2 linked regions of the Alligator mississippiensis genome follow. The protein of the gene in region 1 purifies or fractionates together with the protein of each later gene. This does not show direct contact. Links are inferred from orthologs where the notes say so. Each region holds a gene or a part of one and is shown in the gene's direction. Other genes may lie near its edges.

Evidence for each region.
Region 2: the proteins of SKP1 (region 1) and MTUS1 purify together in Homo sapiens (affinity purification with mass spectrometry; 3 studies listed by BioGRID and IntAct, with this or other methods). This does not show direct contact. The link is inferred for Alligator mississippiensis from reciprocal best matches to the Homo sapiens genes SKP1 and MTUS1.

Annotation. Positions count from the first base shown.
Region 1 is NC_081832.1:70,029,968-70,037,591, reverse strand, and holds the start of SKP1 (S-phase kinase-associated protein 1), read left to right. Parts: upstream 1-4,564; 5' UTR 4,565-4,672; intron 4,673-7,624. UniProt on the Homo sapiens protein: Essential component of the SCF (SKP1-CUL1-F-box protein) ubiquitin ligase complex, which mediates the ubiquitination of proteins involved in cell cycle progression, signal transduction and transcription.
Region 2 is NC_081825.1:66,037,686-66,045,283, reverse strand, and holds the start of MTUS1 (microtubule-associated tumor suppressor 1), read left to right. Parts: upstream 1-4,507; 5' UTR 4,508-4,605; intron 4,606-4,644; exon of another isoform or gene 4,645-4,725; intron 4,726-7,598. UniProt on the Homo sapiens protein: Cooperates with AGTR2 to inhibit ERK2 activation and cell proliferation. May be required for AGTR2 cell surface expression. Together with PTPN6, induces UBE2V2 expression upon angiotensin-II stimulation.

The DNA of each region.
Region 1 (7,624 bases):
ACTTTCCCATTTATAGGTGACATGCGTGGTTTTATATCCATGTTTGTGTCTGGTAGGTAAAGGTGGCCTACAAACTTTAAGGGTTTTAAGATTAATTTGTCCCCTCCCCTTGTAATGGGAGCTTTAATTCCCACCCCTCCCTCCCCCCAATTTTACCTAAACTTCAAAAGCAGCCTCTTTCGAACCTTGCAGAACTTTTGTACCATTTAAAGCAGCTCTGTCTCTTAGTACCAGACAGACACCTGAGGTGTACATATCTCAGAGGTAATTTTTAACTCCCATGCCTAAAGTTTGGGTGTCCATGGTGTGTGTTTGTTTTATTCCATCTGATAATACTTCTCTAGGTACTCATGTAGTCCTCATACCTACAATATCTGGACTTAAATCTCCTGATTTTTTCTGTGGGAAGCAAGTTATGTTAGTATTATTATTGCATTGTTTACTCAACTTTGCAGACCATGCAATAATTTAGTAACTGGTGAATGTATGTACCCTGACTTTAGGACAGAACTGCTGAAGTGCCAAGGTAATTAGGGTGTCTTAAATATCTACAAAAGGATGGGTCAGTCAGTCTGCATTACAAATACATTTTGAGTTACAGCTTCATTTTGAATTTTCTTTTTAAAAGTAAAATATTTGACCTCTCCAAAGCATTTCTCTAGCACTTCTAATCCTTGCAGCATCCTGGGAGGTAGGTAAGGATTGTATTCTCCATTCTACAAACAGGGAAAACGAGACTGAATGGGCAAGTGACTCACCCAAGGCTCTGCATGAAGTTTGTGGCAGAGCAGAGGTTACAATTGCAAAGTTCCTGGTTTCCAGAAGTGGCTTCAACCTTTACATTGTTGTCTCTTACCATAATCTTACTGTTCTCTGATTTTATAGTTTGTACTTTGTATGGCTTCATTAGAATTTTGTGGAGTTGTGGCTGCATAGTGGGATCTATCGATCTGGAATATCTTCTGCTAGGGCGAGAAAAAAGTATTTAACTATTGACAGCTGGCTCACATTGTCATGGCACAAGGAATAGAATGCTTTCTATTTGAGTCATGAACAACTGCAAGACAATTTTTTAAAGTAATGGAAACTGGCAGTGCTGTAATCACGGCAGCACATTTTTTATTTTCTCCTGAACTATCAACAGTCTTTTTGCATAAATAATATATAACAAGAAATGCAATAAGGGTATATGGTAGCTGCACTATGGGGTTGAAGGGTTACTTGAAATCAGAATAAATCGTAGAAGTCTACCTGTGAGTGAAGCAATAACCTTTTGCCAAATGGCTCAGAAGAGTAAGTCCAAGTGCATTTGACTGGTTCAGTGGCTGTGAAAATTAATGTACACATACCTGCTTTCCTACCTGTTCATATCCCTAAAAAAACTGTTTTTTTTTAATTTCTATTACATGTGGGAAAGGTAGGATTTACTAAAATAATCTGTTAATCCTAAATAGGTGCTTCTGAATTAACACCTTCTTTTCCTGACTTTCCACAAATGGTATTGAAGGCTGAGCATGATGTCTAGAAGTCTGACCCCTTGAACTGTGGGCTCAGTCCTAGCAGTTGTCTCTGACTTTCATGCAATCAGGAAGGGCAAACTGAGTTCCATGCTGTGTACTGCATATGAAACTTTAAAGCTTATAATTCTGTATAGGATTCAAGGATCCGGCATTTATAATATATGATTTATAACCATAACTAGTCCTTTCAGGTGCTTATATGGATGGATTCCAAATAACTTCAGAAGAAAGTTGGTTTCATTATCCCTATCTCACAGGTGGGGAAATCAAGGCAGACAGTGAGGAAGTGATTAATTTAAGAGGCCAGCAGAAGAGCCAGAAATAGAATAGAAATACATCAGTTCTTCAGTGGGCTTCTGCCCTCCACCCAATGCTGTTGTCTGTTTATATGCTGAAAAATACTAGGATTATTTGCCCTGGAAGTGACATAATTTAACTCATACTTATCTCAGTAGCTAAAACATTTCATCCATTTCTTTTCATTCATTCTTCTTTTTTGCTTCACTTTTGGTTAATAGTCTATCAGTAGTAGAAGGCCCTGATTTTAAGATTTTTTTTTTTTTTAGATTTGTTTGTGGTAGTGCTTAGGACCTCTCTAACATACTTGCTCAGGTTTCTGCCTATTATCTCTGATAACTTTTATCCTTTTCTCAGCTGCCTTAGTGAAGGATGAGAACTTTTTTGGTATCTATAATATCCCAGAAATTCTCAGTTACTGAGTTCCAACCAACCATCTTTCCCACACACGCTTTAATGTCAGAGGGAGTACCAGGATATTACACAGTGTGCCAGAACAGGAAGACTTAAACTGAGATGTCTTTTTTTATATCATGTGTATAATTTTAGGTCTTTGCCATCTGTTTTACCATGCTGTTTACTTTTTGATGATCCCAGCTACCAGGCTGCCATATTGTCTGTATTGTCCACTTTGCTCTCAGCTTTTTCTGATGTCTCTATATCCCCAAGACCAAACGCAGTGGTAGGGCATACTTCTGAAAAAGCAGGGGTGAATTCCAGGTGGCCTGACTTTGCCTCTGTAGGCACCTCATTCTAGGACAGCAAGGTCTCAAGAAGAGGAAACTCTCTAATGCTAATCAGGTCAGTGGCTTAGGTGCTCCTTTCTTTTTTATTTCACTCCTGCTCATCTTTCTTGGGTCCCTGCTCAGGATTCTCAGGATCCTTGTTGAAGGCATCTAATTCTCTCTGCATTGTATACAGGGTCTGACTAAGGATTCCCCAAGGTGTTAGGCATTATGGGTGCATCCAGACAAGCAGAAATGTGTGCTTCCCTGGGGACACCTTGTGCCACTGCTACTTGTCCCTGGGGAACACCCGTGCCATGTGCACTCTGGCACGTGGCAGGTTACCCTGGGTGGGGTAGGGGAAGCTGAGGCCAGCAACTGTGCTGGCTCTGTATGTGCCAGCTTTACCTGGCCCATATGTGCTGGTCCCATATGTGCCAGTTTTACCTGGGGCCCTGGGGACCTCCAGCACCTGCAGCCATGGTGCTTCTGTGGCAGGGAGCTTGGTCGACAGCTGGAGCATGGGTCCGGCCAGCCAAGCTCCAGTTTTGGATGGCGTGCACTGCCACCACATGCACCATCCCTCTTTTTTTTGGTGGGGGCTTTTTTCACCCCAGGATCTCCCAGGGTCAAAAAACACCTGTGCCACAAAGTAGTAGTTCAAGGAACGCCTGCTTGTGTAGTGTGGCTCCACAGACAGGTCCATGCTCAGCTGGATGTGCCCTGACACCTAAATACCCTGAGGTTTTAGCTCTAAGAGCTTGATCCTATTTAAGAGCTCCATTTTTGCCATCCCTCATCTGTTTACACGAAGCTTTGCTAATGTTAGGGTGGGCAGGTTGCATCCACCTGCATGGAGTTCCTTGCGGGCTCATTGCTTAAATGTATTGTGGTCTCACTCACAGACCCACCATCTAGCTCTGTGCCACACAAACCTGCATCAGTTGAAAATGTCCTCCAACTAGTATTGCTTATGCATATCCACTTTACAGCTGCCAATTGTATGAAGCAGCAGCTTTAAATTATCCTTGGCATTTCTAAGACCATGTATTAGACAGTAGAGACCTCATTCGCTGGTCTGCTGGGTAGTTGCCAAAGATTTCACTGCGTTTGTCTGAAATGCTAGTTAAAGAAACTGAAATGATATTAAATGAATATATTGCCTTTTAACTTTCCTTCACCATAATTTTTCTTGCATCTTGAGTTTTAGTGCTTTGGCTCGCAACCGGGGCACCTACCTGGGCCTTGAAAATAATTCAGGGTTTCTCTGTCAAGCACTGAAATACAGAACCGTGCCAAACAGTGCTTGGCAATTTATTTGCAAGGGAGGGCACTAGGCCAATCTTTCCTCAGCAATCATGCACTGCAGTAGAGGTGGCATCTCCCTTTCTAACGTAATTTACAGCATTAACACACTCAATTCTAGCTGTCGGTGCAGCTTTTAGATTTAACCGTTGCTTGGCCAATTGATCCTTGCCCTTCAACAGTCGTTCCCCCCCAGCCCCCGCAGTAGTCTTCTTCTTTTTGAGCCACCTTCCTCCCAATGTAACACAGGGACATTTCACTCCTTCGGAGGAAACCCTAGAGTTGAAGGCATAGCCGATCAAGTTTGCACTCTGCTTTTCCCTGCAGGAGTCAGACATGCAATGGGATGATGACAGCAAATAGCATCTGTTTATACTGCCCTGGTCCTTGTGGAAGCTGGGCTCTCTCATGGTTTGCACGAGCTGCTCCCGGGGTTGAGGTAGAGGGTCGAGCTTATGCGATGAAAACCCACCCGGGTGAGGACGCCCGCCCTCCATCCCCTTTCTCCATGCTGAGGCGCCCGCTGTTACCAAGCGCGTCTCCGCTGCGGACAGCCTCTGCCTGAAGGACCCCGCTGCTCCTGCACTCCCCCGCCCCCAATGTTTACCTTTCGAAAACCCTCCCCCTCACCCCCTATTTCCTCTCAGAAGTGCAGCTTGCCGCACTTCCCTGCCCCGAGCGCTCAGGCGATCTGCGCGGGCAGCCCCGGAGCTCTGTGAGGCAGCGCTCGTTGGGGTCCTTCCTTCCCGCCCCGCCCCCATAAAAGCCGCCGCTGCAGCCGCAGTCGGGCCTGAGGAGACGCCGCCACCCGGTTGTAGCCGCACGGTGAGGCCCGGCCCGGCCCGGGGAGGGGACGGGGGAGGCCTGGTCTGCTTCCCCGCCGCTGCGGAGCTAGCCCGGGGGGGTTGGGCCTGGTCCCCGCCCGCAGCTCTGCTTAGTCACCCCGGTCCGCGGGCTGCTCCTCTCGCCCGGCCCCGGCGGCCGCGGAAGCGCAGCCCTGGTCTGAAGGGACGGACAGGCTCAGCCCCCGGGTCATTCAAGGGGGGGACCCTGGAGCCCTGTCGAGAGGCCGCGGGGACCCCCCCCCCCCCCCCCGGCTCCTCGTGGCCCGTCGGAGCCGGCCGAGTCGTGGGCTTGAGCGCGAGGGGGAGGGGAGGGGAGCGGGTCCGCGGGCAGGAGCGTCAATCCCGGGCAGGGAAAACCTCGGTCGACGCGCTCCGGCTCCTAACGAGGACTAGTGCATTTGGGGTGAAAACTGCTACGAGCATCTCACTCTCTTTCCCGAGCAAACGCAGGGCTCGCGGCGCCGGTAGGTGGGAAACGCGGGGATGATATAGCCGTGGTGCGTTGGGGATGGGCTGCGGTGTTTTTAAGCCCCACGTCTGTCCGTCTGTCTATCTTTGAAGCAAAACAAAACCTCTATTAGATAATCGAGGTAAAACAACTGGCTTAAATTTCCTTGATCTGGAGTTTAAGTGACCGCCTGCGCAATACAAACAGAGCCTAAACCTATCGCAGTCCAAAAACAAACCAACGGAAAAACCCTCATAAAATTGGGGATGAGCCTCGATTGTAAGTTGTCTTGCCTGTTCGAAGTCTTATTTTACCTAGCGGTTGGGAAGGTAGACTTGTACTTGAGCAAACTCAGCTTCTCACTGCAGGGTTGGACCTCTTGGTGGTAAGAAGTTAACATTTTTAAATTCAATATTTGCCTCTTTTTTTTTCCTGGGGATGACACAGCAATGTGTTGCTACAACATGGGGCCCAACTTTAATGAGTTTGTTAGTCTCTTCTAAGTTTATCTCTCTAAGATGTGGTAATACTTGCATTTGGAGGTAGAGTGTTTTATCAACATGAAGCAGCTCTGCCAAGTAAACTTGAAGAGGTTACTTTCTTCCTTTCAAACATGAAGATCTATGGCTACCGTCTGCTGCTGAGCAACCTGCATTGGCTGGGCTCCATTGGCCTGCGTTTGTTGCAGTGCTGTGATGAGCTACAGCAAGCGCTCGCTGTCAAGCAGATGGAAGTGAGCTGAAAGTCATATAGCTGGTCAGCTGCTCTGACTGCAGTAATTTTGAATCCATGAGGTCCTAGGCCCCTCAAGAGTTTGTGTATTTTTGTTTTGTTTGTTTTATTTTGTGTATGTATTTCAAGCAGGCATCAGTTGAGTAATATCTATGAGTGATCTCTGTTTACCCTAAAAGCCTTTTCCCAAACAATTCTTAAATGGGTTTGCAGACTATTTGAGGATGCGTAGCTTAAGGGTTGCTTTTCAGTTGCCTGCTCAAGGATCTCTAACCTATTTTGACAGTCTTCTGCAAAACAAAACATATAAAGGCCAAAAATGGCTTCATACTGATTTATTTTACTTTATCTTTTTTGCAAGGAAACATATTGGATGAATGCATTACTAAAACAAATCTAACTTGTATAAAAGCCAATTATTTTAGACTAATCCCATTGTGTGCACCCTAATGCGAAGGGCTAAAGAACCGGCAAACAAGATGTATACAACCTTACAACAAACATCTTAGTTGTAACTAATTAAAGCTGATTCTTGCCAAAATAAGCAGTTTGATTTCAAGAACGTTATTTGAAGCAATTCTAGACTTCATGGGCTAGAAGGGACTCTTACGCTAAACTAATCGCATGCATGGTACTCAGAGCCTTATCCAGTAACATCTGCATCATGCTTGTAACTTTTTTTTTTATAGGAGCTTAACCAGTAAGTTATTTAAACATTACTGGTTGCAGCATGGATTTGAGAATGTACTGTCTTTTAAATTTTGTTATAATAGACTCCTTTTACAGGAGCCTTTTCTTACAGGTAAATGCATTAAGAAGCAATTGTGTTGTCAGGTGCTGAAAGTAGGGGTGCACTGATAGAGGTTTTTGGGGCTCATACAGATAGCTAATTTTTGAGGAGGCATATTAGCTGATATGGATCTGATTTCTGATACAGCTGCATCCAGCTGGTAAGACTTATGGTGGAAGGGAAGGAGTGGGGGGCAGACCCAGGTGCCCCAGCCCCACTCCCTCCCTTATCATGGGGCAAGGGCTGCCCAGCTGGGGCAGAACAGAGCTGTGGTTTGTCTGGGGAGTGCAGGGGTCTGTCTGGTGCTCTCCTGGGAGCTCCAGCTGCTTGTCTGGCAGGGCATAGGGGATGGGGGAGTAGGTGTGTGCCTCTGGATCTGCGTGGGGTGAGCGGGGCTGGGGCTGAGCTTGGGGTAGGTGGCTCTGAGAGTGGGGCTATGGGGGGACTACAGTGAATTTCAGGGTGGCTGCAGCCCCCCCATAGCCTCCACTTCCAGTGTTGCCACTGCCACTTGCCCCGATCCAGGGGCACACGCCTCTTCCTCCCCACCCCCCCAAGCGAGTGGCACGGGTGGGAGCCACCCCCCCCCCCCCCCCCCCCCGGATGAGCTGTGGCCGGGCACTGCTTGCCTCAGCCCCACTCTCTCCTTCCCTCTCTGCAGGGGGGCCTTGATCTGTGCACCCCCCTCCCCCCCCCCCCCCCGGTCCCTTTCACCACAACAGACTTACTAGCTGGACACTGCTTTTCAAGCTGCGGGGCTATCCTCGCTGCCTACGTGCTGTGTTGTGACTGCACATGCATGGGCCATTTATCAGCCATATCAGGCCAATTTCTGATGCTGCCAATCTTCTTTATATTGGTGCTTATCTGATATTGGACCGATGGATCAGTGCACTTCTAGCTGAAAGTTCTCTTGAGTATACCATGGGCAAGCTTTCACAAAAATACAATGCCAAGCATAC
Region 2 (7,598 bases), on another chromosome or scaffold:
CTCAGACCAACACAGCTACCAAGTACACCCCTGCAAAGAGGAACATTTTTGAAGTAAAGCACTTCATTTTGAAGAATCTTCTGAAATATCTGCACTTTCCAACAGTTCTCACGTATCCCACAGTGCTTCACTTACCCCTCCCCCCCCCCCCCCCCTTTCCATGAAGGACAGTGTGATGGACTGCCAAAGAAAACTCTCTTGTGAATTTCTAGCAATCAGAAGCCAGGTCATGCATGCCTTCCCAGCCACTTAAAAATGCTGCAGGAGGTGTGGTTGGCACCACACATTTGTACAACACTTCAAGTGTGATGAATTTAAAGACTCTGAGATTTAGAGTGCTTCAAATGCGTATCTGTCTAGGCTTGATGAGTAACTATTTCCCCCTAAATTATCCCATTAATGAGTAATATCCAGCTGACTCTAAGGTACCATAATCCTTGCCCTGGATTCACACTTGTTTAGAGATTCACTGAGAAGGTCTAATGTGTGCATTTCTCTCATTAACTTGCATGCACAGAAAATTCAAGGGAATGAACAGAAGTGAATGCAATCTGAAGTTGCCTTGACTCTGTAGACTCCTATCATTTTAGGGATTAGACATGAGCCAAAATGGGGCATATCCTATGTCCCCACCACTCCAAAAGGGTTTTAGAGACATTCTGTGATGGGAACATCAGACTTTTAAACCCCTACAATACCCATTCTTCATTGAGATGACTAACTCCAAGAAGCCAGACAACTAGCTTTTACACTAGGGTAGAGTAAATAATGTTGTAGCCAAATGTGTTGAAACCACAGACTCGGGATCATTTTTATTAAAAAGAAGGAGCTCATTTCATAAGATTGGGATCAAGTCATCATGCTAATTATTTACCTGTAATTACGCAAACTGGACAGGTCTTACTTGTAAGTGTACAACTTCACCAGATACTGTAGAGGTTAAGGTCTTAGTAGGATTAAAGGAGTAGGCATTATAAAAATTCCTAAATGAACAAACAAGTGTAATTCAGGTCATAAGTCAAACTTCAATTGCAGGTCCTAAGTTCAACTCCTAGTGGTAGTCATTACCCATTCTTAATGTTTATTTATTTTAACTATACTTGACTATATTTAAATCACTGCAAACTTGACTATTGATATGTGGTGCACATATTGTACATTGCTTTTCTGCAGCCTCCTTGAACTCAAAGATCTCAAATTAAGTCATGCAAAATACTTTAGGTGGTTTAAACAGTTATAGTCTAATAAATCTTTTTAGAAGTTTATAACAGTGTTAGCACTCAAAAGGGATTTAATTTTTATGTCACTTAAAGAAATCTATCCCATCCTCACCACTTAAAAATTTAGGAAATTCAGAGCAAAAGCATTCATTAACTTCATATTAAAGATAAAGGTGATCAACAAAAGCCATAAAACACAAGTCAAAATCCCACTAGCAGTATTAATTTAGTTATGTTGCGTTTTTGTTTTTTTTTATTCCTGTTTTTCTAATAAACAACAAGATATAATATAGAGGTTATAAAATTAATCCAAGTCTATACTTGATCATTAATTTGCAGAACACACTGAAATCTTAACATGTGACTTCTGGAAATGAACAAGGGGGGAAAAAACACAGAGCAAGGATCCCAGGTTAGAAGAACATGTTCAGTTCTGCTGTAAAATACTGAACATCTTGAACTCCCAGGCGATCAAACCATTCAATTTGGCCATGGTGATTTGGAATAGAATCCAGGTTTTAGGACTCTCTGTTCTATGTGCTACACTAATGTACAGCTACTTTAAAATAAGATAAAATTGATTTGATAGTTATTCATTGTAATTGTAACCAACACAAACCAGCAGCTGTGTGAAAGTTTGGACTGTGTTACCAGCATAATCACCAGCTTGCAAGGCTAGGCTTGTACTGTGGGCAACTCCCATATTCAATATAGAGCTTTACTAATTAATTTGCATACCTGCACATGCCTCAAGATTGGCTGAGGAGATACAGTAGGTCTGTGAGAACAACATTCATCCTAAGGTTTTTTAAATTTTGTTGGTAAGTATTCCCAAAGAAACCTCTCCACAGCACCCTGGGAGGGGGGAGGAGCAGGGAGCGGGGATAATGTATGTTCCAAGGAAAACAATAAAAAATCAGTATACTGAACATGTCTTGGATAGCAGAATATCCACCACTCCCTTTGGCAGGTACTTTCACAGAGCAAGGCTCTGGTCTCAAAACATAGGTAGAGATCTGTGTCTGCCCCATTTCTCTGCAGAATCAAACTTTAGAACACTTTTTCTGATAGTTTTTGTAAGTGTTTCTTCTCTTAATTTCATCCCATTAATCTCAGTCATTGACTCATTATGCTTTCTAACTACTTCCTCTCCCCTCCCCCCCCCCTTAATATTTGTTTAGGGTTTATTTTCATTTGATTTACAACACTAAAGCATTATTCTGCCCTTTTATTGTGCTTTTCAGCAATGCATCTCAAATCCTTTAGGAAGGGAATACATTACTACCCCTTTTCACAGATGTGGAAACAGGGGGCAATTGTTTAAGTGACAGAACCAAAGTCACTTGAGGGTGGGGGGACATGATAAGGATTTGCAAAATCCTAAATGGCAAAGAGAAAGTCAATAGGGATTTATTATTTACTGCCTTACACAAGACAAGAACTAGGGGCCACAAAATGAAACTAGTAGGTAGTAAGTTTAAACTAGAAGGAAGTTTTTTCACACAGTCATTTGAGTGTGGAACTCATTGCCACCAGATGCTGGAATTGCAAAAGGAATTGAACCAATTATTGGAGGAAAAGGGCATCAGGAGCTATTAAGCATAGTATCATAGTACTTAGGGTCAGAAGGGGCCTAAACACCAGGTCTGACCCCCTGCCCCGGGCAGAAACAGGTGCCGGGATCATATCACCCCACCTGTCCAGCCTCCTCTTGAAGATCTCCAAGGTAGGAGAGAGTACCACCTCACTTGGGAGCCCATTCCAGAGCCTGGCAGCTCTAATTGTAAAGAAAATGGGAGCAAGGACACCAGCCACTGAATTACAAGTCCCTAGACCTTACTTTTTTTTTATTAATATATATTGTGTTTCAGGTGAAGTCAGCCAAATCAGTTTCAAATCATATTGATTGAGCAGAACTCAGTCAAAAAACCATATTGATTGAGCAGGCAGAACTCAATCATTCTAAACACCATGTATGGCACTACAACTGGTGAGCATCCTCCATCCCAGACCTCTCAACCTGGGACTTCGGATACTCCCAAATCCATTGACAGGCATCCTACGTGCAGGCCCAAGTCTGGAGGTCTTGGGATTCAGATGTCCCCAGAAACTACAGGCAAGCATTCTCCATCCCAGACTCTTTAGTCTGGGACTTCAGATACTTTATTAGAAAATGTTGAAGTTTAAGGTTACAAAGTTAAAGCTAAAAGAAATCCAAAGGACCCAGAGTGAGGGGTTACATAAAACAGGATGGGGGTAGGGAAGGAAAGGTAACTAGATTACATATAAAAAGTGCAGTCAACTAACCCAAGGGGCCAGGGGGTAGGGGGAGAGTGATGCTTTTATAGAGTCAAAAATATACTGGGACCAGAGCAGTTCCCCTGGGCCAGGATGCACCAGTTGTCCATGGGAGGGGTGGCGAGTGGCCGGAGCTGATGGTGCTCAGCAGTGGTGGTAGCGGGGTCTGTATGGCACCATCTGTAGGACCCCCCCGCAAACCATGGGGCTTGCCCAGGTTGTTGCCTTGATTTGGCCCCTCGCAGTGATGGCCCTGCTGGAGACCCTGCACAACGATGCTACGTTTGGGTTTGGAGGTGGTTTACAGAGAGTGCACACTCGGTTACAGATAGTAGGATGCGGGTGCAATTGTGGGGGCTGGGAAGAGCCCAGGATGGGTGAGGACTTTCTCACTCTATCTTAGCCAAATGATCCCCAAAAGTCCCTCATTCCCAAACTCTGACAGATGGCGCACTGCCAATTTAAAGCAATACAGCCTTCAGTGCCACCAGCAATTTTTTCAGTTCGACCTTGGGTACCATCAACACATTTTCTGTCATAGCAAGTAATTATAATAAATCTGCTAATGTGTACTCCTGACAGGTTGTGTGCTACCACTGGTGGGACTGGTACCACAGATTGGGAGCAGCCGCCCTAGACCTTAAAATAAATGCTGCAAGTGAGAGAGAACCAGTGGGGGGGAAATAACGCCCCCCATTCCCAGTCCCCTCTCCCCATCAGCCTCCACCCTGCCCCCGGGTGTCACAGATGACGGGGCAAGATGGACCCGTGTAAAGGCAGCTCTTAGGCTCACGCAAGAAGAGCAGCAACACCGAGCGGGAATCTGCAGCCCCCGGCTTTGTCTGCCGCTGGGCTGTGGCTGGCGTCTCCCCTCGTGCGGCTTCTCCTCCCGCACGTGGGGCCGCGGGCTACTCCTCCCGCCCCGGGCCGGGGGGGGAAAGGTGTTTCGGTGCGTGACGTCACAGGGCGGCACAGGTGCGGCCGGGCCCGGCGGGGAGGGGGGAAGGAGTCCCCGGACGGGCGGAGCAGGGAGCGAGTAGGCGCTGCTCATTGCTGCACGGCCGGGGGAGGCCCCGCGCACCGGTAGGTGAGTCTGCAGCTCCTTGCGTGCGCTCCCCCTTCCCCCCTCCCAGTGGTGGCTCAACTTCGCTTTGAACTTCGCCCAGATCCGGGGGCTGCGCTGCCCCCCTTCCCTCCCAGTTGCAAGGTAGCTGGTTGCAGTGGGTTGCGGGGGGGCTAAGGCCCGGAGGCCCGGAGGAGGGGGCTCGGATGGCCCCGCTGCCAGGGGGAGCCTCCCAGGTGCAGTGCGCTTGTCCCCGCCAGCCCCGGGCTCCTGCCCCGCTCTCGTAGTTGCAGGGAGCCCGGCCCGCCGGCCTTGCAAAAGCGGCGTGAGGTACGGACGTCTCCCGCCTGCTGCTTCTTTTCTTGGCTCCCCCTGGCTGGGGCGGGGCGGGAGCCTCCTGCAGGACGTGGGGGCGCCGGTGGATCTGCTCCTCGCCTCGGGGTGCTCAGCGGGGCAGGGAAGGCTTCAGCGCAGTCATTGGAAGCGCGTCTCTGATGCCCTTGAGGGAGCGCTCCCGGCCCTTGGCGCGCTCCGTGGCAGCTGCTCTGCCCGGCAGTGCTGTGGCAGGCGAAGCCCTGGCTGGGGCGGGGGGGTCTAGTTGGGCTGGTTCTGCTCGGAGCAGGGGAGTGGACAGGATGACCTCCTGAGGTGCTTTCCAGCCCCCTGTTCCCCATAGTAAGGAAGTCACCTACTTCCATTTGGTGCCTCCTATCAACCGTCTCCGCCAGGAGCTTGCGGGGCTGCCCTCTCAAAACCTGATTAGACTTCACCCTGGGGTTTTAGCCTTTCTCTTAGATGTGGCTTCTTAAAAATGCTGCAGCTGAGCAGTGTGACTCTCCCAATCTTCTTGGGGCCACATTGGTCTTTGACCACAGAAATTTCTTCAAGACCCCTCCTCTGTCCTTCAAAACACTTCTATTTGAATCAAATTCAGTTGTTTAGACTGAGAGAGTTTAGTTTTTGGGAGGCTGTGAGGACTTTGCGTGGTTCTTTGGGAGGGTTGGGGGTTTTGGCTGGCATGTTAGTTTGTATTTGGCTGCTCTTTCTGGGTTCATGGGTTTTGTTGTTTCTTGGGGGGTGGGGTTTAGGTTGCTTTGTTTTTTCTTTTTTATGGCCTACCCCATAACTCTAAAAGTTGCTAAAGCAAATACGAAGGGTTTTTGAAGCCAGTAAACTTTGCAGAGCAGGCATCTCTGCATTTCCCTTGGGTTCGTTTCCTCCTTGGATCCGATAGCCAAGTATCAAGTAATCAAGCATGTACTTGTACATGATGTGCTCTGAACTTATGTACTGAACGTATAGTATTAAACATGTTACAATCGTCTTTCCCCTTTTTGTGTGTGTCCAGTAGTTACTGCTAGCATGGACCTGGAACCAGTTTGCGGCAATAGGAGCCATTGCATTCCTGTTACCTTCTTCTTTTTTTTTTTTTTAAACATATTTTGAATGTTTGCACCTCCATATGTTCTATAAATAGGAATAAAAGATTGGCAAACGGAGGAGAGCTCAAGTTTGAAAAGGGCATTCAGCTCAAATGTGATAACGTTGTTCTGAGGCCAAGAAAGGATCAAGGTAAAGTATTTTGGGTTAACAATCAGATCAGAGGATAAGAAATGAACTGGAAATAATCATTAAAGAAATGCAAGTTTTCATTTAAGAAAAGGGCGTGCTACTGTGTCATTGGTACAAAGATGATGAAATATTTTCTTGACTGGCTTCACAGGTCCAGAATATGAAGTACCCACCTGGGTTAAACATCCACCCAGACAGTTTTTTCAAGATCAGGTTACAGTAGAACAGGTGTTTACCTTTCACTGCAGTGGATATGTAAAGTAGAAATTGATGGTTTACCTGCCTTAATAAGTAACAGAGGTACCTTTGGCTTCTGTGTTTGTTTTTCTGCTAGTCTGAGACTTAGCCCTGTTTTCAGGATACCAGTGTTACTGAACCATGAAAATACAATTTGACCATTTTGTGCTGTTTTGTTGTGCCATAGATCAGCAAATGAAGATAAGTTACTGGTGAGCTTTCTTCCAACATAAGTAGAACAGTAATTCCTGTGGTTTCCTTGGGTGAAACCTCTCATGTTCTAAAATAAGTTGTTTGATAAGTGAGTAGTTGGGCTTTGAGATGCCCAGTTCAGTCCTAAAGGATTTTAAATCTGCTCATAACTAAAAATGGCTACAGCTCATTTGTCTTGGTTAATAAAACTTTACTTTGTTGTAAACTACATTGTTCTAAATAGCCTTTGTGTGTACTGTTATCCAATAACATCTTATCACTATAGCAAGTTCTTTTGAAATATTGGTCCTTTATAGAACATGGGTTTTATTTTATTTTGTAATGCTTTCTAACTTTCACTAAAAAAATGAAAACTAATGTTATATCTGGCAATAATATGAGCTTGTTGATGGTTAAAATGTATAAACAAATGTTGTTGGATTAGGCTTTGTTTTAAACTGCAGATAAAATGAAGTGGATAAACTTGCTGAAAAATAGTATTTATTTACCATCCTACTTGATGAATGAAGACTCCATAATTAACACATTCTTTGAATAAATATTGAATCCATATTATAAATGGCTTCTGGATATTTTATTAAGAGAGCTTTATTCCTAATTCTTAGAGATACCATTTTAATACAAATAATATGTTTAAGTATAATGTGAGTTATTTCTTATTTTCTGCATCTTTAAGCACTTGAGGCATTGATTTCATCCATAAGAGTAGCATTAATGTGAATCCAGCAGACTGAAAAATGAGATTTAAATACGTTTTAGTTTCTAATTGCTTTCTTGTTCTTTAGCTTTAGGGCTCTTTGTGGTTTCAATTTCTAACATTGAAAGCCTGAGCCTTATTTTTAAATGTAAACAAATTCTTCTAGTGCCAGGACTCCAGGAGCTGGGACTTTAGAGAGAAAAGTAGGAATGGATATGGGGGAGACCACAAAGCACTCTGAGACTTGTCATTAAAATTGCAAGAGCTGGCAGACTACATGAAGGCCTAGTAGTTGCTT